3 linked regions of the Arabidopsis thaliana genome follow. The protein of the gene in region 3 interacts with the protein of the main gene of each other region in a pairwise test. Each region holds a gene or a part of one and is shown on either strand. Other genes may lie near its edges. The genes, in order: AT1G25510, KT2 and NRT1.1.

Region 1 (5,161 bases), 4.9 Mb from region 3:
CACACTTTCTCCCTCCGTAACTATTCACGTTTTTTTCTTTTTAATTTTCCTATCACAAAATTATTTCTTTTCTTTTTTGGTTCGTTGCTTTATTTCTGTTTGTTATTTGGAAATGGACCTTTAATGCATATAACAGAAAAATTGCATATAGTTTTCTCAAACTTTATGTCAAAGTTTTTATAAATTCACCTACAAGGGAAGTGTGGTAAATGTTTGATATAAATTGTATTATATAATTATGTATTCTTCTTCTTTTTTTTGCTTGGACGTTGTTTAATGTACGTATGAATTGTATACCTCATTATTCAGATATTTAAAAGAACCGGTCAAAATCATCTATTGAATCTACGACTCTTTGTTTTTTCTGTCAACAAATATACCACTATTTTAATTGTGAAAATATTAACAAAAACATTGAATTTTATCCAGGTTTTTTGCTCTTATGGCATAAGTTTTATGTCTAGCATGAAACTGTAAAAGTAAGAGAATGTTTTTGGATGAACAAAGGAGAAAGTAAAAGGTTGACATATAAAAAGGAGAAAGGAAAATAAAGCTTTTTTTTAAGGACAAAATGATTGAACCCATAGCTGCCACTTCATATGTTGTGATGGCAAGTAGTGGCACCATGACTTCGCCACCTCTCTTTGTGCCATGTTTTTTTCTTTCTCTTTTGATAATATAAATCTCTGTGCCATGTTACTCTTTTAAAAAATACTGTTTACATAGAATGATTAGAGTTCATTAAACATATCCAATAGAATATCACCAGAGTTAATTTAGTTTTGTGTAAATTCATCTTCCATAAACATATCACTTTTTTCTTTGTTTCATATCAGTTAGTACTAGGGATTACACTTTCATGATCATAACTCATATAAGAGATTGTATTTTCAATCATTCGTTTCTTGGTTTACAAAGATTTTGTTATTTTGTATCACATCACATATTGTATTTGGGCTTAACTTCTTCGATCACACATTGTATTTGGGCTTTAACTCTCAACACTACGAGTATTCATGCGTCATAGAAAAGAAGGAGTCATTCATTCGTGTGTGATGTGACCTGTAACAAGGCCCCTCAAGATTCATTGTTCTACTCTTTAATCATAAAATTAGCAAAAACAAATTCCATCTTTTTTTTACTCTTTTTCACTCTATGCATTGCAACAACAAGTACAAGAAACAAACACAACCAAACAGTAGTACAGTACTCTAACTTAACATTACTATCTTTTAAGTGACTTTTCCTTTTCATTGTAACTCAAATATATTTATAGAAAAAACAGCTTAGCATTTTTGTTTTTTTTGATGAAAACAGCTTAGCATTTATTAGACGAGAATCCAATGAGAGAATTTGCCAAATCGAAAGTGACACGTGTCCCTTGTTGCTGCACGTTTCCGATAATCGCTAGTGAACTCGCCGTCGGTGCAAATGCCAAACAAAATGTCCCCACCGAGTCAACCGGAATCATGTAGTTCTTCGCCGGCAAAGCCAACATCTTCCCGCCGGGGAAATGAAAAGCCACGGTCGGGACTTCTACCGTCGTCTTAGCCGAAAGGTTATAACACGTGTCAAACATCGCCACCCCGGCTGCTTTTTCCAAGTCCAACGTTCCTTTCACGAACGAGTCTCTAAGCGAGTTATAGATTTCGGTCTGGAGACGAGTCACGGCGGTTCCTGAGTCGATGATGATCCCACCGCTGCCTGACTCGTCCATCTCGAAAGAAGACTGAGGAATCTGAAGCAACTCGCCGCCGACGCTTATTCCGGTGAGGCCTAGGTAGTAAAACGTGTCGAGCTGGTGGTTACGTAGCAACGGAGCCACGACGGCGTCAGGAGAAAGAGAAGTCCCGAAATCCACGGTCGAAGCCGAGTCTGAGTCACGGTCAACGAGACAGTACGAGAACGACGTCGTGTTGAGCTGCGACGGAAGAGCTAACAAACCACCGCCGAGTCCAAGTAAACCGGCGGCGCCGACGAACAACCCTTCGTTGCTGTGTCCACAACCAACGGCGACGTTTTGAACTAGAGTTGAGCCGATTGTGAGAGTCTCGGTGGCGAAATCTCCAACGGTGTAAGAACCATCACCGTAAGAAACCTCGTAAAGACACGTGGCGTTTCTACATTCTGAGACTTCAAGGGCATTGCACTGTGGAGTGTCACAAGAGAGAGGCTCGTAAGAAGAAGACGACGATGGCTCGAAGATTGGTTCGGTTTGGTGGTAACAGTCAGCGCAAGGAGTACATTGTAGCCAGTTCACGTCACTTCCAGTATCTAGAACCATATAAACTTCACGCGCCGGTTTTCCGATACCGACGCGTGTGAAGTACTCGCCACTTCCTTGAGTCGTGCCGGAGATTAAAGGAGCTTCGATATCTTGTTCCTCAGTGGTGTACATTGTGCTGATGGGTTTGAGATCTGCTTTGGATATGTTGTTGATGGCTAGATCTAAACGGGTTATGAGAGATTTGACTCGGGCTGTGTCACGGTTGAGTCTGGCTAGTGTGAGTGACTTATAGTCTGAGTGTTCAGTTCCTCGGACGGAAACTCGTGAATGAAGCTGCAAGCTGAAAGAAGAAGAAGCAGAGTGAGTCTGTTCTTCTTGCTGGTTTAACCGAAACGACGACGTATACTTGGTTCTGTGGATGGAGTCAGCGACATTGAGAATTGAGGTAGTGGTTGTGGAGGTCTCTGGTAAGATTCTGGAGAAAACAGAAGAGTGTGAAGTGAGGAAGAAGATGAAGAAGAAGAAGGAGTAGTTAGGAGACATTTTTTAGATTCCGACCGTTAACAGTGAAGAAGATGAAGTGAATGAGGTTTATTAAAGAGAAGACAAAAGTGTGTTTGGTGGGGAAGGGAAAATGAGACAAAAGCTTCTTTTAATTAAAACAAAGACAAGCTGTGTTTTGGGGGTTTGCAGATTTCGAGGAGATTTATATAAGTAAGTATCTCTTCTTGAAGAATTAATCCAAAGATTAGATAAATGGTTAAAGAGGAAGAGGAGGTTTCTTCATCCTCTTTAAGTGTGAGGATTTAAATAAACTTGTTTTATGATCTCAATGCGGTTAGTGTGGAGATTGTTGTTTTAGATTTTATTAAGTCAGCCACTTTTGAGTGTTTCACATCTTCGCACTTTGACAAATTTTATTTGGCTATGAGCTTAGCTTTGTTAATGATGACTTTCATTCAAATTATAACAGCTCACTTATTTCATTTTATCCAGACCTATGTCTATAAAGCTATATGATACTAAACAATTAACCTAAAAAGAAAGCTATAACTGTAAACCAATACATACATACGCAATCTGACAACAACAAAAAAACATACATATGCATATCATGTTAAGGTATTAACAATGTGGAGGAATTTGCTGACTTAAAAATGGTGAATTTATGGTCCCTCATGGGCCTGTGGGTAACTCTTATCTAGGCTTTTAACTTGGATGTTTGGGCCATTTCATACCCCAAGTCTACTACATTAACTCATTAACCTTGCTGCCTAAATCTAAACTATAAATTCTAAAATACACTTCTAATCTCAGCTTAACATGATATGCAGTTGAGATAGATAGAATATTGCCACCTGATTTTAGTTATTCATCAATTTTAGAATTAAATAAATTAATATTAATATAAGTACAGTTGGATCAAATCAAATATAATTACATACGTTTGCGAATCAATTCGCCACCAATCAGAAATCGGTCAATTTTTTTTTATTTGTATAAAATAGTAGGATAAAACGAAATAAAATTTAGTTGAGATAAGCGAAAAATACTAAAATACCCAATCAGTTTTGAGCATCTCTCAAAAACTTACGTGTTATACTATTCTAAACGTTACGTCTCAATCGTGATCGCGACAAGTTAGTTATCAAAGAAGTAAAAGTCTTTATTGTTTTGCTCGAGCAAGTGACGCAAGTCGCAAACAACAACACAAGGGAACAAATTAACATCTTCTAAACTCAAGTTGGGTTTTCTGGGTCCCACACATTAAAATCGTTGGTTGTTATCAATCCACGTGGTAAGATCTTAAGGGTTAAAGAATCAGAATCAAATTCACCTACAATCCCCAAAAAAAAAGGATTCATCTTTTAGCTCTTCAGCGAATGTTCGTCTCGTCTATTTGCTCTCTCTCGACGACTGTTAATTAACTCCGGCGATTGATCACTCCGTCTTCTTTGTAACACAGCCGGAGAAAAATCGAAAGTTTCGTTTTTTTCTTCTCCTTCGTAGCTAATTCGCCGTCGATTTTATAATTCGGCAGCCATGAGCTCGGTTTTGCAGGTAGAGTAAAAGATTAATGTTTTCTGGGGAGTAAACTCGTAAGAATCGTTGTGGAGCTAATCTGGGTTTATGATTGTTGGGGTTTTATAGGGTTTTACGAAGTCACTTGCTATGACCTTTGTATCGGAGATTGGTGACAAGACGTTTTTCGCTGCAGCAGTAAGTGTTTCGTCTCCTCTTCGCTTTAGTTTTAGATTTTGTTGCTTCATGTAATCTATTGAGGGTTTAAGGTCGATGAAGTCAATGGCTTTTACATGAATCGAAGTCTAAAGTCTTACTTATTGGATTGCCTTTTCCTGATTAAGAATCTAGATGGCATCTTTGGATCCTTTGTCTGTAGCTTTTATATTGCCATTCAGTTTCATAGTGTTTTGGTAGTTTAGAATCTGCCACAGGCTCTTTGAAGGTGTGTAAGATACTTCTGTTGTTATCTTGATTTTGCAAGCTTAAACTCTTTTTTTTTTTTGTCATATCAGATTTTGGCTATGCGTTATCCTAGGAGACTTGTGTTGGCTGGTTGTTTATCGGCTCTGATTGTAAGTTTTTCTGAATGCTTTGACCTATTGGTTTCAGTGACCTCTCTCCATAGATTTTGAAGCTTATGTCTTTGTTTAATTCTTAGGTTATGACTATCCTCTCTGCTACTCTTGGATGGGCTGCTCCTAATCTGGTATGGCTTCAACTTATTTTGTATTTCTACATAAGCCTTTTTTTCTTACTAAATAGTAAATACTGATTCAAACCCTCACCTTCAGATCTCTCGCAAATGGACTCATCACATAACAACATTGTTGTTCTTTGGTTTTGGGCTATGGTCTTTGTGGGACGGTTTCAAAGAAGGAGGAGGGTAATACTTCTTCATCATATTTTGTT
Region 2 (7,503 bases), on a different chromosome or scaffold from region 3:
TTGTTCTCCATGTTGAATCATCCTAAACAGAACGTAAAAACAGAAACAGTTACTGATAGATAAAGATTGAATTCTTCTTTAGTAGAAACCATCAAAAGTCATATTCCTACCTTGTAAGCACCAGCATAGAATTCATTCCCAAGCATGTCCTGTATCATTCCACGAAACCGAACAAGAGTCTTGGGTTGCACCCACTTAATACTTGACGAATCAAGAATTGGAACCTAGTAGACAAAAGAAAACACTATCGGTTAATTAAGAAAAATATCTCAAAACAGATCCTTGAAAAAACCCAAATTAACCAATCTATGGATAGACTAAAACCTAAAGTAAGCTGATTTACTTAGAAACAGAGCCAAAGTACACGAAAAAATCAACCTATTATGCTAATTGGGTAGTAATTAATCAAAACATACTCAATTGCCCTAAACCCAAAAAAAAATAGAAACAGAGTAAAGGTTTTAGGGCAAACCTGGGAGATAGCAGATTCGTCGGAGAAGTAGTGACGGAACAAATCAACGACACCCCAGTCTTTTCCGACAGACGAAGCCGGATCGTAGCCTGAAGACAGAGCATTTACGAAGGAGAATCGGACGGCTCCTAAAGGGTTGGTCAGACAATCGTAAGCTGGTCCTCCCATATCTCAAAACCAACCTTTGATTTCACTCTTTACCAAAGTACTATGTAGCGAGAATCGCCAAGAATCTAGAGATGAAAGATTGAGTCTTTGCTCAAACACGAATTAAGGGCAATGTCAAGTGTGTATAGTTGGGCCTTTCCCGCCATATCTCCTAGGTTATTCCCGCCATTATCCATGCCCATTCTCCAACTTCCAACGCACCGTTTTGGACCCCTCTCCATACGATGTCGTTTCATGTGTATAATAAACTAATTCATTTGGCATATATGATCCTCTGACCATCTTGGTCTTAAGATTTGTTAAAAGTCAAACCCCAGACTCACAAACACAGAAACAGAGATCTATGAAGCTAAACATGACGAATTTACAACAGAGGAATTAGGTTTTCATATATTTAGTTTTTTCATAAGTCAAACAACATAAACCATGCCGACTTCTAAAAGAGAAACAGGTGGAACCTTAAGAGCCACGTCAGGTCCTCTACAGTTCCTTCTCAAGAAATTATAACCGAAATTAACTGCTAATCTCTTCATCACCGATGATCCTTGTTTCGCTTTCACATGTGAATGTCCCAATATAAACGCAGTTCCTGCTTCTTGCGCTGCCAGCAAATCCCTCAGCTCGCTTCTCAGTTCCGCATCTGCTTCTGCTGACGATGTTGATCCTTCGTCCTCGTAACTGTTTTCCTCAACCGCAAACCTCACCCGTCTTATGGTGGCGGTTGGGGCTGGTTCGGCCATTTGTATGACGTCTTCCATGCTTTCGACTGTGGAGAATCCGATGGAGACACTCTCTGGTTGGAGATTGTCTTCGATCTCGTAAGCTACTGTTCCGATCACGGCTAGTCTTGACTCGCTTGAGGATTCGTTGGACTGGACAGAACGAGCGTTGTCGTCTTCTTGTTGTGTTCTTTTGTGCCAATCGTAACGGATGAAATCCGCCAGCTTGCTTACGAGCTCTGTTTCGAATGAGTCCACGTCTTGATGGACGTCACGGTATCCATACCGAACGATGCATCTGTAAGAGCGGTGGTCAACGGGACCAACACGACCCACGAGGTATCTCTCAGCAGGTGGAACGAACGGGACAGGGACAGATTTCACGCAGACAAAGACAAGAACACGGTGGAAGGCAGGGAGGTTGGTGACGAACCGGGAGAAATTGGCGGGGATTCCAGAGGTTAAATCCGTGAAGACTAAACCGATACCTGGAACTCGAGAAATTCCGAGGCTTGGACCCAATGCAAGAAGCCATTCAAGCGAGACTTTATTCTGGAGATCAAACTCGTATTTCTTAATGGTGGTGTAGTGCCAAACGAACATGATGATCATGAATATTAGAGATAAGAGGATCGGAAGCCAAGCGCCTTCACGAAATTTGGTGAGTGAGGCCGAGAAGTAGAGAAGTTCTATTGAACCGAAAAAGAGAAGGAACGCTAGCGCTAGAATTGGAGGCTTGTGCCAGCAAAGAACAATGACTAATGAGGTAAGACATGTTGTCACTAGCATAACCGCCATTACAGCCAAACCTGCAACCAACCACAAAGGAATATAATCTCAAAGTCGAAGAATCCAAAATTCTTGAGTTGATAAAAGAATCTCATACCTGATGCATTTCCCAGGTGTTTGACATCTCTAAACCCGATAGTAACAGCGATGCAGAGAATCATGAGCATCCAGTTAATCTCCGGTATGTAAATCTGACCATGCATCTTATCGGACGTGTGAATGACTTTGACTCGAGGGAAGCATCCGAGAGACTGGCTCTGGTTTATGATTGAGAAAGTCCCACTGATGATCGCTTGGCTTCCCACAACAGAAGCAAGAATTGCTACAGCAAGCACAGGCCAGTGCAAACATTCTGTTCAAAACCATGGAGTTATATAAACAAAAGATCAGATTACGTTTTCAATGATCAACACCAAAAAAAAATTGAGTTCTTGAAGTAAGGCAAATTACTGACTTGGTACAGAGACGTAAAACCCAATTGCATGAGCAGAATGGTGATGCCGGGATAAGTAAGCAGCTTGCCCCATGTATGCCAATATAAGAGCCGGATAAACCAGGAAGGTAAACGCAATCTACAGCAAACAAAACAAAGATTTATTGAAACCTGTGGCGATATAACAATAAGTAAATCATCCAAGCTAAAGTAGAAACTAACCTGAATTGCTGCGTAATTGAAGTGACCAAGATCAGCAAACATGGCCTCAGCACCTAAAACAAAGACTCAACGAGTTAGATTACTGACATTATTTATGGCGACATTAACAATATCGATTTCTTATATATCTCACCAGTTATGCACAACAAGATCCCGCCTAGAGACATCCATCCGCTTACTCTCGTCTTTCTCAAGAACATGAACATGTATGTAGGAGAAAGAGCTTTGTATATATGAGGATTCCACTGTATTATATTGTACAAGCCAATACCACTTATACAGAGCAGCCAAGTGAGGACAATAGGCGCGAAAACAAACCCAACACGATGTGTCCCAAAATGCTGAAGCGAGAAAAGGCAGACTAGTATGAAGCAGGTAATAGGAATTACTGCATCTGCACGTTTGAACAACAAAGGAAGCCATCATTCATCAGAACTCAAGTAGCAAAAACTAACACTACCCAGTCTTTGTGTACTTACATTGGTGATGTTCTTTAGACATATTCAGCTCAAGACCTGACACAGCAGAGAAAACTACATACAAGAAAAAGAAAAGATTAGAAAACTCTTTTAACTAGCAATTGGACACTGGAATATCTGTCTACAAACACAGAAGCATACATACCGGAGATAGCTGGAGTGAGAAGTCCATCTCCAATAACCATACAAGTCCCAAGAAGAACAAGAAGCAGCAAAGCAGTGTGTAACCACTTGTGTTTCTCCAGATATCTTTTCACACACGAGTCATGGTTCTTCTCCGGTGGATGCTCCAGCTTATAAGTGGACAGTGCCTCATCAGAGACTTGTCGGTTTGGGAGGAGGCTAACTTTGACATGACGGCAGATCAATGAGTACAAAGCAAAAGTTCCACCTGAAAACAAATGTAACAAACCTTCATAAGCAAAGCAAATAAAGTTTCTCGATGATTTTCTGCTCTGAAAGTGTCTCTTCCCCTCACCTTCTCCGTTATCATCAGCTCGGAGGACAATGAAGACATACTTAAGCAAAGGAACCAAAGTTAAAGTCCAGAAAACAAAAGACATAACACCGTAGATCTCTTCATTGGTCTCTGAATGTTGAATGTCCTCAGCAAAAGTGCTCTTAAAGACATAAAGCGGAGAGATACTCAAGTCTCCATAGACAACACCAAGACTCTGGTAAGCAAGAAGCAAAACCGACCTCCATGATTCCTTCTGCATAATTGTCAAAGTTCCAATCTTTATTCAGCTCAAAATTCCAAAATTGAGCAAATCTAAAAGAAAATGGACAACAAACCTTAGAAGAACGAGAACCACAGCATTTTCCGAGATTGAGATCCATGGTTCTTAAATGTTCAGCCTAACACGCTAAAGCTGAACAACCAAAGAAAGAAGAAGATAGATTTATGAATCTGAAGCAATTGAAAAGTAATGTCGAAAAGAGTGAAACCTACAAAGTAACAATAAATAGGACAACCAAACTCTGTTCCCAAATTAGAAGGAAGAAAACAAAGTAGGCCACATTCACGCACATGCCATTCTCATATCCACGAATTTAGATAAAACCCAGAAAAAGAAGAACAATCAAAAACCCTAAATCTCTAAAATTGAACAACAATTACCCAGAAAATGAAAAGACTTGAAAAGTGTAGAGCCTAGTGTTAGGCTTTTAGCCATAAATGGAGATAAATCAATTATTAGCTTTTGCCCATTTTGCCAACTGTGTTTTTTCCACTTACAGAATTTTTAATTGAAGTATGAATTTTTCTGGGTGGATGACGTGAATCGATGTGTAGGAGTGAAGAAAGAGATGATCTGCTTATCATTGAATTAAAGATATTGAAGACAAAGAACGACGATACAAGATAAGAACCCATAGCCTCCACATGCTATAGCCAAATTAAAAAAACGTCTTTGTCTTTGCGTTTTCTCGGGGAAAAAAAGAAAGAGAGCAAACGTGGCGAGAATATTTACAGGTGAAGAGACAGAAACACGTGAGTGCTCTCCCGACAGTTACATGACATCTAAAGGAAAAAGCTTTTCTTTTTTTTCTTATACTTACCAACAGAATTTGCGCCATTGATTTTGCAAGCTTTGTACTATTGATAAGCCTCAAAATCTGGTCATCACCAACCTCACTCACTCTCTTTTCTCTCTATTTTCCGAAACTTTTTGTTGCAATAACAAAAATCGAAACTGTTTTTTTTTTTATTTCTCTCTGTATCAGTCAACAACAATAATATATTTTGTTAAAAGGTATATATAACGCGTAATTAATATATACTTATATTAGTATTTGTTACTATCTATTGATAGTCACTAGTATTAAATTTTTAATACTACCTTATTATTTCTCTTTTATAATTTGTGAATTTCTTTAACTTGGCAGATTGTAAGAAAGAAAAAAATTGATATGAAATGTATTTAAGATTTTGTCCCTATTATGGATTATGGTGAACAACTAGATGATATTTAATAAATGAATAGCAACATATAAAATAATTAATAACAAATCTATATATACAGTTATAAACTTTTAGAATGGTTTTATGGCATTTTAAAGGTTTTTTTTAAAAAATTTGGTTGCATCTACTTTTTTATATCTCATTTTTTTACAAATAATTATTATTATTTAACACATGTCTTTATTTGTACACATCTCTGAATTGTTTTAGTGTGTAAAAATTAGTTGTTTAGCTAATGAATCATAGATTTACAAATTTATTCTATAAAAGTTTGTTGATTTTTAGTAATCTATAAATTTAAAAATTTGTTTCGAAATAATTGAATTTGAAGTCATTGATTGGTGCTCTATTTCTATTCCTTTCTTTTTATGCTTCTTTCTCTTTCACTCCTCTTTTATGTGTTTCTTCCTCTACCTTTTTGTTTTTGGGGTGTTTTCTTTCTCTCCCTTTTGTTAGGTGTTGCGCAATTTCAACCTTTATACATTATTTTCTTGCTATCCCATTTGACATTATTGTAGTCGAACAATTATAAAACCAGATCGGAATCCAATTCTCCAAATCGATTCAGCTTGCTCTTCACAACAATCTTTTCTATTATTATATAATTCAAACTTTCAAAGCATATAGTAGACTTGGTCGGTGGATTCAATGCATGTATAAAGAGACTTATTACCAAATCAAATAATAAATTAATATTATATGCATGCGTTGCATGACGACAAATCACACTAACATTTGATATTTCAAAGCAAAGAACAAAATGTATTTTATATGATTTAAGATTCTATACGTGATTTGGGGAATGCTGTCTTTTCAGTTTGGTGTATGATGTATCAGTCAAATGTGAACGATATTTGTTTTTTGCTAGTCAAAAACTTATACACTGTTGATATGTGAAGCTCACTAGAGAGACGATTGTTTTCTGGAGTCTCTTATATCATCAAGATTTTGCTTGGAACACTCTTTTTCTGGAGTCTGTTTTAGTGAAGATTAGGTTCGCCATGGGTTTTTTGCAAGTTATTTTCTTGATTGCCAAAAGCAGGTTTTAGGATATACTAATGATTCTTAAGAATAGAACTTATTATTTATACTTATATATATATATATATATATATATTGGGCACAAATATAGACCAATCATTTTCCGAAGTTTTAAGATTAAAAAGTTCAAAATTGGGCGATTTAATTAATGATTATGAAATTACAAATCATATTTTAGGATTGCTGAATCCCTCTTTCATTATAATAATGTGACTGTTACAGTAATTAGTGTACAAGAAAATGTTTGTCGTCTACTATCAACTCTTATTAATTTTTGCAATTTTGCCAAAATAAAAATGAATTCGAATTGATCTTACACGAAACCATTTTGTTTTTACTTATTAGAGTTTCTTAACCAATTGACCATTTTCTTCTTCTTTTTATTGTTTACCCGCAAACACAATCTAGGAATGAAAATCTTGTTTTTCTTGGCAATCGGCGGCATATATATTATGGGAAAGAAACTTTTCGTTTTTTCTTGGTAAAATGGGTAACAAGTGATGATAGATTGGTGATGGTAAGTAAAATTTACTTGGGAGATAATTGAGTTTCTTAGTTGGCGATATGGGATGCTGTGATTTAGTGTTTACTCATTAACGTACATTTATAAGCCAATGTAATTCCAAATCTGGAAAGATTTTAGGCAGTAAAAAACAGAGAACGATAAATACTTTTTTTATGCTTTGTTAACGGGCCAGTAAGCCAAAATATGCATAGTTTTCGATGTTAATTTATAAACAACTTGCTTTGGTGAATGGTTAAAGACTGTATAACCGACAGAATGTTCCTTTTGTCACCAACTGACAGAATGTTTTTGTGTTTTCTTTCCCATATTTTTATTTCATTTATGTTTTTGATAACATAAAACTAGATAAATATACCACAAGATTCTTGGATATAAGTTAAAACACACACCTGAAAAGAGAGAGAGAGTTATATATCCACATATTTATCAAAAGAAAATTCTTGGATTAATCCCTGCCTGTTTTATATTATTGTGGGTAAATTACTCTCTTTTAGTGTTATAGAAAAATATTCCATTTTAATAACAAAAAAAAAGAGTTTTACAACTGACAAATACAGTTTTTTTATTATGAGTTGTATTACATACATGAATACATGAACTCCCATCAACACGAGGAAATGAGACAATTCAAGAGGAAGGGCACAATTATATTTTATGAACTAAAAAGACAAAATGAAATAAGATCAAAATA
Region 3 (7,582 bases):
TACACATTTAGACCCTACAACTTTATTTAATTTTATCTATCAAGCTAACAAAATAAGGTACTAACCAGTTAATGAAATTAAAATTGAGGATATACATATAGTTTAGTAAAAAACTTTGATCGATACCTTATCTGAATTGAAACTATTCTGATCTATCCTAACAATATTAAAAATGGTTTACATGCGCTATCATCATTTTTTCTACTAAAGGATTTAACGCTTATTGTAAAGGCCTTTTTTTTTTTTTTACTCTGATGGTTTGTCAGAAGATTATTCGTTAATGAATTATACGTTTGTTATAAACTGTAAATCTTCATTTTGAATGTAAAACTCAAAAATTAAAATTGAAGCAAAAGGTAGTTTCCTTGTTCGTGCTAACTGCTAATGTCGATTAAGATTCATCCTCTTGAAATGACCGAGTCAACGCTGAGGGAGAATCTCACGTGGTCCTACCAACTATCACGTGCCAAAAATCTGGGCCCTGAGATATACCTATAAGCAAAAGCCAGCTCCGCCCAAAACATTTGATCCATCCATTTTCATTTTTATTTTCCAATTTTGAAGTTAGGGTTTATTTTTATAAGTTTCCATTAATTTATTTTCTTATTCCTTTTCGGAGGATGTGTTTATTAATTTAATTTCAATAGAAGATAATATATTTGGGTTCACCACTCGTTCTCTTTTTCTTTTTGGATGGGACTCTTCATTGTGACTTTTTTGTTCTCGCTCTTCCACAATCTTTGGATGTGTACAAAATAATCGATTGTTGGGGATATTATAGTAAATTTAGCAATATGAAACTAGCAACGAAGAAAGTGTTTATTGATGGGTTCAAAATTTCATCGATCTGCATATCAATAACTCGGAAAGAGATGGATCATGACACATAGTATACAATAAATTTTATAAATTTCGAAAATTAACTAATTGAGGATAGAAATTCATCAATTACTTAATAAATAAATAAAAAACTGATTCAAATGTATGTTTTACTTCTGTAACATACAATTTCTTGCTTTTCTTGAAAATTGACTCGTTTTTTATATTGGATATTTTACATAGACTTTGAGACTTATTAATAAAACTAACTAACCATCTCTTACAAATTGTTGGAATAAATTATTTTTATTTTTCTGTTGGCTCTATAAAATGAAAATGACCTTTGTTCTTCTTCTTTATACTCCTATATATGTTTTCTCCAGAGAGAAAGAGAACCATTGAAGTTGCGAGACTTCCAATTATATATATAGTTCATGAAAGTCCTGTGACCATGCTCTTTATTTATTTTATTTCACTATACGTTAAATAAATGGAAAGTAGGGTAATAATCATATTGCAGCATGATTCATTTTAGTGGCGTCTAAGAAGCATTCATTTTGAGCCATTAAATCTCAAGGTAGACTTTCCCATTAACACAAAAGAAGAAAAAATTGGTACGTAATCATACCAACATCTACAAATCTTTGGTTTCAATTTTGTAACAAAGACCTAGATTGTTGACAAACAAAAAGCAAATACCTAAAAGGACTTTTATTGACTTCTATAAAGATGTTTTGATTGAAATTTCATATAATTTAATAGTTTCCTCAAACTATATGCAATAAAATTATAATTTGATAATTACATGTGAAAGAAAACATGACTCTCAAATTAATATGAGTCGATTATCAATAAATTTTTGTGATATGGCTGTGCTGCAGAACAACTGAATGGGCCTAGAAGTAAAGTTGATATTGAGCAAACAAAAAACGAAATAGATTTTTTTTTTCTTTTGGGCAAACTCAAAAAACGAAATAGATATGCCTCGACAATACTACAAAATCTCAAATGAACAATATTGATGAAAATGCGTTTGTAACACAGAAATCAATTATTTTGAATTATTTTCCATATATAGTACAGACGTAAAAAACATACTGTATTATCTTTCATGGAAGTAAAATAATTTTCCAAGAAATAGAACAAATGTAAAACAGGTGGTGGCTAAAACTGGTGCTTTTAATGGCTAATGCCATTGAATCACTGACAAAATGACCGATGACTTCAACTTAAAAGTTCAAGCCCACAGTTCCAAAGGTAGAGGAAGTGGTAAAATTTAGGTATGGTCTCTTTCTCTCTCTCTCAATTTTCTCTTTCTACAAATATATACTACAGTTACAGTAGTAGTTATTATTATTAATTATTCTCTCCCCAATCAAACAACACTCATCAGAGTCACACATGTGTCACTTTTTTCTTCAATATTTTAGTTTTATGAATAAAAAATCAAAATAAAACAATAAAAACTTTTTTAACTTGGCTAGTTTCCCAGTATAAATAGATGTATCAACGAACACATTTAAGACCACAAAAGAAACCAAGAGCTCTCAAACAAAACAGCCTTTTACATAAGAACAAACACCCCCAAAAACTGCAAAAAAAAGAGAGAGATCATTAATCCATCTTCAAGATGTCTCTTCCTGAAACTAAATCTGATGATATCCTTCTTGATGCTTGGGACTTCCAAGGCCGTCCCGCCGATCGCTCAAAAACCGGCGGCTGGGCCAGCGCCGCCATGATTCTTTGTAAGTATAATCACATAATAAAAGTTCTAGAGAAAAGCTACCAACAATATACATGCTGAAGACAAGAATTGAAACTTTTTAATGGCATTTACTAAGTTATAAGTTTCTTATGGCTATCATTCTTATTCTTTTATGTATTCTCGATGTATCCAACTTTATCATTAACAAAATTTTATTGTGTGAAGGTATTGAGGCCGTGGAGAGGCTGACGACGTTAGGTATCGGAGTTAATCTGGTGACGTATTTGACGGGAACTATGCATTTAGGCAATGCAACTGCGGCTAACACCGTTACCAATTTCCTCGGAACTTCTTTCATGCTCTGTCTCCTCGGTGGCTTCATCGCCGATACCTTTCTCGGCAGGTTTGTCTATAAATATATTTATATTTACTTAACTAAAATCATTCAGATTCTTTTTAAAATATTAATTTGAGTTCATTCATTTTGTTTTGTATAGGTACCTAACGATTGCTATATTCGCCGCAATCCAAGCCACGGTAAGGACCTCAAAAGTCCCTTTCTCCTTACCAAAACTTATACCCAAGAAAACGAAGAAAATAAAAATATTGTCTAGTCAATAAACAAATCGAAATAGTAAACAGCATAAGTCGTTATTTTTGTTATAGTTTTCCGAAAAATAATATCCGTGTTATGAACTATGATGCTATCAGGGTGTTTCAATCTTAACTCTATCAACAATCATACCGGGACTTCGACCACCAAGATGCAATCCAACAACGTCGTCTCACTGCGAACAAGCAAGTGGAATACAACTGACGGTCCTATACTTAGCCTTATACCTCACCGCTCTAGGAACGGGAGGCGTGAAGGCTAGTGTCTCGGGTTTCGGGTCGGACCAATTCGATGAGACCGAACCAAAAGAACGATCGAAAATGACATATTTCTTCAACCGTTTCTTCTTTTGTATCAACGTTGGCTCTCTTTTAGCTGTGACGGTCCTTGTCTACGTACAAGACGATGTTGGACGCAAATGGGGCTATGGAATTTGCGCGTTTGCGATCGTGCTTGCACTCAGCGTTTTCTTGGCCGGAACAAACCGCTACCGTTTCAAGAAGTTGATCGGTAGCCCGATGACGCAGGTTGCTGCGGTTATCGTGGCGGCGTGGAGGAATAGGAAGCTCGAGCTGCCGGCAGATCCGTCCTATCTCTACGATGTGGATGATATTATTGCGGCGGAAGGTTCGATGAAGGGTAAACAAAAGCTGCCACACACTGAACAATTCCGGTACGATTCTTTTAATTAACTCATCATTTGCTTTCCACGTACGATCCTCAAAACTTACAATGATTTAAATTTTAAGATAAAAGTTTTAAAATTTTTCTTTTTCTTTTCCATTTAAGGGTTAATTGAAATAATTGAGGTACTGGTTCCCTTAATTAAATGTGATAGTATCAGTAGACTTTAAAAATGTGAAATTAAAAGTGGGGTTGTGTGGGTGAGAAATAACTCGAAATGCTCGTGTCCTTTAATTATAGTGGGACCGTAAATATTTCTCATTATATGCCTACTTGGCATTAGAAATCATTTTTTTTTGACAGCCATTATAAATTAATTAAAAGGTGTTGAATATCTTTCTTTGTCTTTTGTTACGGGGAAAATAAATTATTTTCATAATATTATTACTCGACCATACAGCGAAACTGGTCCAGGATACGAATTATACAGCTAATTACAACATTTTTGGATTTTTGGGTTCAAAGTCCCTACTTTGGCATTTTATATTGTATATTTTTTCCTTAAAATCCTATGTGTGTGTGCATGTGTATATCTTTGTTAGATAACACGTTAAGTTCGGTTCATAGAATAGGTAGGAAAATAAAAGTAGTCTCTCGGAATTAGTCGGAAAGATAAAGTAATTCAGATAAACAAATGAATAAGTATATGCAAGTGATATCAAGTGGGGTAAAATTCTCCATCTTTACTTTTTGCCTATAAAAAATTTCACACCCACTCGTAGAATATTTGGTTTTTACAGAAAGAGTATCTTCATCATTGCGGAAAATTAAATACACCAATTTGCTATTTTATCTTTATTATAGTATTATAATTATGATTATGATTCTAATGCCTTATAACTTTAAATACACATACACTGACACACATATATCTATATTTATATTCCCCTGACTCGTGAGTTTTCCCCCTTTAAGTACGGTATCTTTTATTTTTGCTAACTTAAGTACAGTATCTTTTATCCATCAATCCCTATGCATACCTACATAGAAATAAAAGAATCCAAAGGAATCAATTTTTCTTTATACCAGATAATTTATGGAAAATCTATTTAGCATCTCTAGATATTGGAATCCCTTTCTCGGAAATAAAACTAATAAAGAAGAAGAGACGAGAAGTTAGGGTAGGGAGGCAGGTGTTTTGTCTGTAGTGAAAACGATCAAATATCGTGTCGTAGCACCTCCACTACTTTACACCTTCACCGGGACAGACCCAAAGTTAGGCATAATTAAGAACCCTAGCGTCACATGCACGACACGTGCTTTGCGTGCTCGGTGCTTCATTAAATTTCTCTTTCGTTTGGGTCTCTCTAAAAGGTAGTTGAAAACTAAAGAAAAAACCTTTTACACTTTTCCATAAATTCAAACTCTTAACTTTTTTTTGCCTACACTATTTTAAAAGCAATTACGTATTTGTCATGCATGTGTGTGAAGGATATATCATCTTGAAAAGATTCCACGTAACTATCTCCACAACATGTTGATTCAAATATTCAATGCGTAAGCTATATTCCAAAAAAAGAAACAATGTATTATTGATATGAAATTTCAATAAATAGGGACACTTCATAATTTTCTAAGAAACACACAAAAGATCTTTGGTTTGAAAAATCAGATACTTATCTTTAATCCAATATATGTAAAATATTTTATCTCCATTTTACATAATTTACTATTATATTCTAATTATTCCTTATATCATTTTTGATGCCACAGTTCATTAGATAAGGCAGCAATAAGGGATCAGGAAGCGGGAGTTACCTCGAATGTATTCAACAAGTGGACACTCTCAACACTAACAGATGTTGAGGAAGTGAAACAAATCGTGCGAATGTTACCAATTTGGGCAACATGCATCCTCTTCTGGACCGTCCACGCTCAATTAACGACATTATCAGTCGCACAATCCGAGACATTGGACCGTTCCATCGGGAGCTTCGAGATCCCTCCAGCATCGATGGCAGTCTTCTACGTCGGTGGCCTCCTCCTAACCACCGCCGTCTATGACCGCGTCGCCATTCGTCTATGCAAAAAGCTATTCAACTACCCCCATGGTCTAAGACCGCTTCAACGGATCGGTTTGGGGCTTTTCTTCGGATCAATGGCTATGGCTGTGGCTGCTTTGGTCGAGCTCAAACGTCTTAGAACTGCACACGCTCATGGTCCAACAGTCAAAACGCTTCCTCTAGGGTTTTATCTACTCATCCCACAATATCTTATTGTCGGTATCGGCGAAGCGTTAATCTACACAGGACAGTTAGATTTCTTCTTGAGAGAGTGCCCTAAAGGTATGAAAGGGATGAGCACGGGTCTATTGTTGAGCACATTGGCATTAGGCTTTTTCTTCAGCTCGGTTCTCGTGACAATCGTCGAGAAATTCACCGGGAAAGCTCATCCATGGATTGCCGATGATCTCAACAAGGGCCGTCTTTACAATTTCTACTGGCTTGTGGCCGTACTTGTTGCCTTGAACTTCCTCATTTTCCTAGTTTTCTCCAAGTGGTACGTTTACAAGGAAAAAAGACTAGCTGAGGTGGGGATTGAGTTGGATGATGAGCCGAGTATTCCAATGGGTCATTGATCATGAATTCATGATCATGATCATGATGATGAACATTATGCATGTCTATGTTGATATGTTTGAATTTGATTTTGAGTTTTGTTTGTATATTTTATGATGCTTTTCTTAATTACCTCTTGTTTCCGAGTCGACAAATAATGGACCGACCGATAAGGGATAAAAGTTAAAGTTTTCCCATCAGGTTCTGTATAAAAGCAGAAATTGTAACATTTCTTAAGATTTGACGCAATTAACGTCTTTTTGTCTTCAATTTCCATTTTTCATTTTTTCCCAGTAAATTATCATACCATTCAACGTTTGTTTTCTCACTTGTTTTGGTATCGTTTGTTTTCGAATATGTGAATAATTTGGACCAGAACTAGGCGTCTAGGCCACTAGCTAGTGCCTAGTGGACTATCACACCTTTCTTTTGTAATATTGGTAAACAAAAAAAGTTGTCTTTAAAACTATAATTGAATTATGACCGAGCTCTGTGAATTTACTGGCTCAATTGTCTCTCGATGACTACTGGTCAAGTGATTAATTTGAATTATCAAGGAGCTGCATGATTAAGTCCAAAACATATATAATCATGATGAATACAAATTAAATATGACAAATGATGAATATTACTTTTATTTGTTTACACTTGTTACTTTTATTTTTTGGATATATACTTTTATATCTTTCAACTATGTAGCTAATTGGATAAAGAATCATCAGTCTAAAGTCTAAACTGATCAACAATCCAGTTTTTTTTTTCAATTATTTTTCAATCAGATAAATACCAATTATTAGCTATAATTTCGATGAATTACTATCGAATTGTTTATAGGGAATTTAATGAAAAAAACCCTCAATTTTGGCCAGATCCATTTTTAAACCCTGAACTATGTTTTTAGTAAAACAAACCCTGAACTAAAACCTGTTAATAAACTTAACCCTACAGTAATTAAATATTAATGGGATATTAATTTCCAAAAATCGACCAAAGAACAATGACAGAATCCGTGATCCAACTGAAGATCGTCCACCTCAAAAAGTTCCTTATACACGTGAAAAAGTTCAAATGGTAAAATAGAAAACAATGAATTATGTTTCACAAGATCTTCTTTTTCAAATTATTTAATTTAATCTTTGCATATTTAGACTTGCAGCAACTGTCAACAAGTCGGACACAACAAACGTTCATGCAAGCGTAAAG

The links.
Region 1: the proteins of NRT1.1 (region 3) and AT1G25510 interact in a protein complementation assay, tested with the Arabidopsis thaliana proteins (one large-scale study listed by BioGRID).
Region 2: the proteins of NRT1.1 (region 3) and KT2 interact in a protein complementation assay, tested with the Arabidopsis thaliana proteins (one large-scale study listed by BioGRID).

What each region holds. Positions count from the first base shown.
Region 1 is NC_003070.9:8,958,054-8,963,214, forward strand, and holds AT1G25510 (Eukaryotic aspartyl protease family protein), read right to left. Parts: upstream 3,131-5,161; 5' UTR 2,771-3,130; coding exon 1,319-2,770; 3' UTR 1,034-1,318; downstream 1-1,033. Other genes in the region: AT1G25520 (Uncharacterized protein family (UPF0016)), read left to right, coding at 4,271-4,288, 4,379-4,447, 4,765-4,824, 4,911-4,958, 5,044-5,135.
Region 2 is NC_003071.7:16,928,064-16,935,566, reverse strand, and holds KT2 (potassium transporter 2), read right to left. Parts: upstream 5,013-7,503; 5' UTR 4,403-5,012; exon of another isoform or gene 4,155-4,402; 5' UTR 4,123-4,154; coding exon 4,078-4,122; intron 3,996-4,077; coding exon 3,761-3,995; intron 3,674-3,760; coding exon 3,428-3,673; intron 3,337-3,427; coding exon 3,283-3,336; intron 3,198-3,282; coding exon 2,937-3,197; intron 2,857-2,936; coding exon 2,804-2,856; intron 2,721-2,803; coding exon 2,603-2,720; intron 2,501-2,602; coding exon 2,246-2,500; intron 2,169-2,245; coding exon 1,051-2,168; 3' UTR 898-1,050; downstream 1-897. Other genes in the region: ETG1 (E2F target protein 1 (ETG1)), read right to left, coding at 1-22, 111-224, 473-640. UniProt on the Arabidopsis thaliana protein: Low-affinity potassium transporter. Could mediate the potassium-dependent cell expansion in growing tissues.
Region 3 is NC_003070.9:4,102,892-4,110,473, forward strand, and holds NRT1.1 (nitrate transporter 1.1), read left to right. Parts: upstream 1-2,331; 5' UTR 2,332-2,449; coding exon 2,450-2,564; intron 2,565-2,749; coding exon 2,750-2,927; intron 2,928-3,021; coding exon 3,022-3,061; intron 3,062-3,235; coding exon 3,236-3,810; intron 3,811-5,534; coding exon 5,535-6,399; 3' UTR 6,400-6,710; downstream 6,711-7,582. UniProt on the Arabidopsis thaliana protein: Dual affinity nitrate transporter. Involved in proton-dependent nitrate uptake and in the regulation of the nitrate transporter NRT2.1.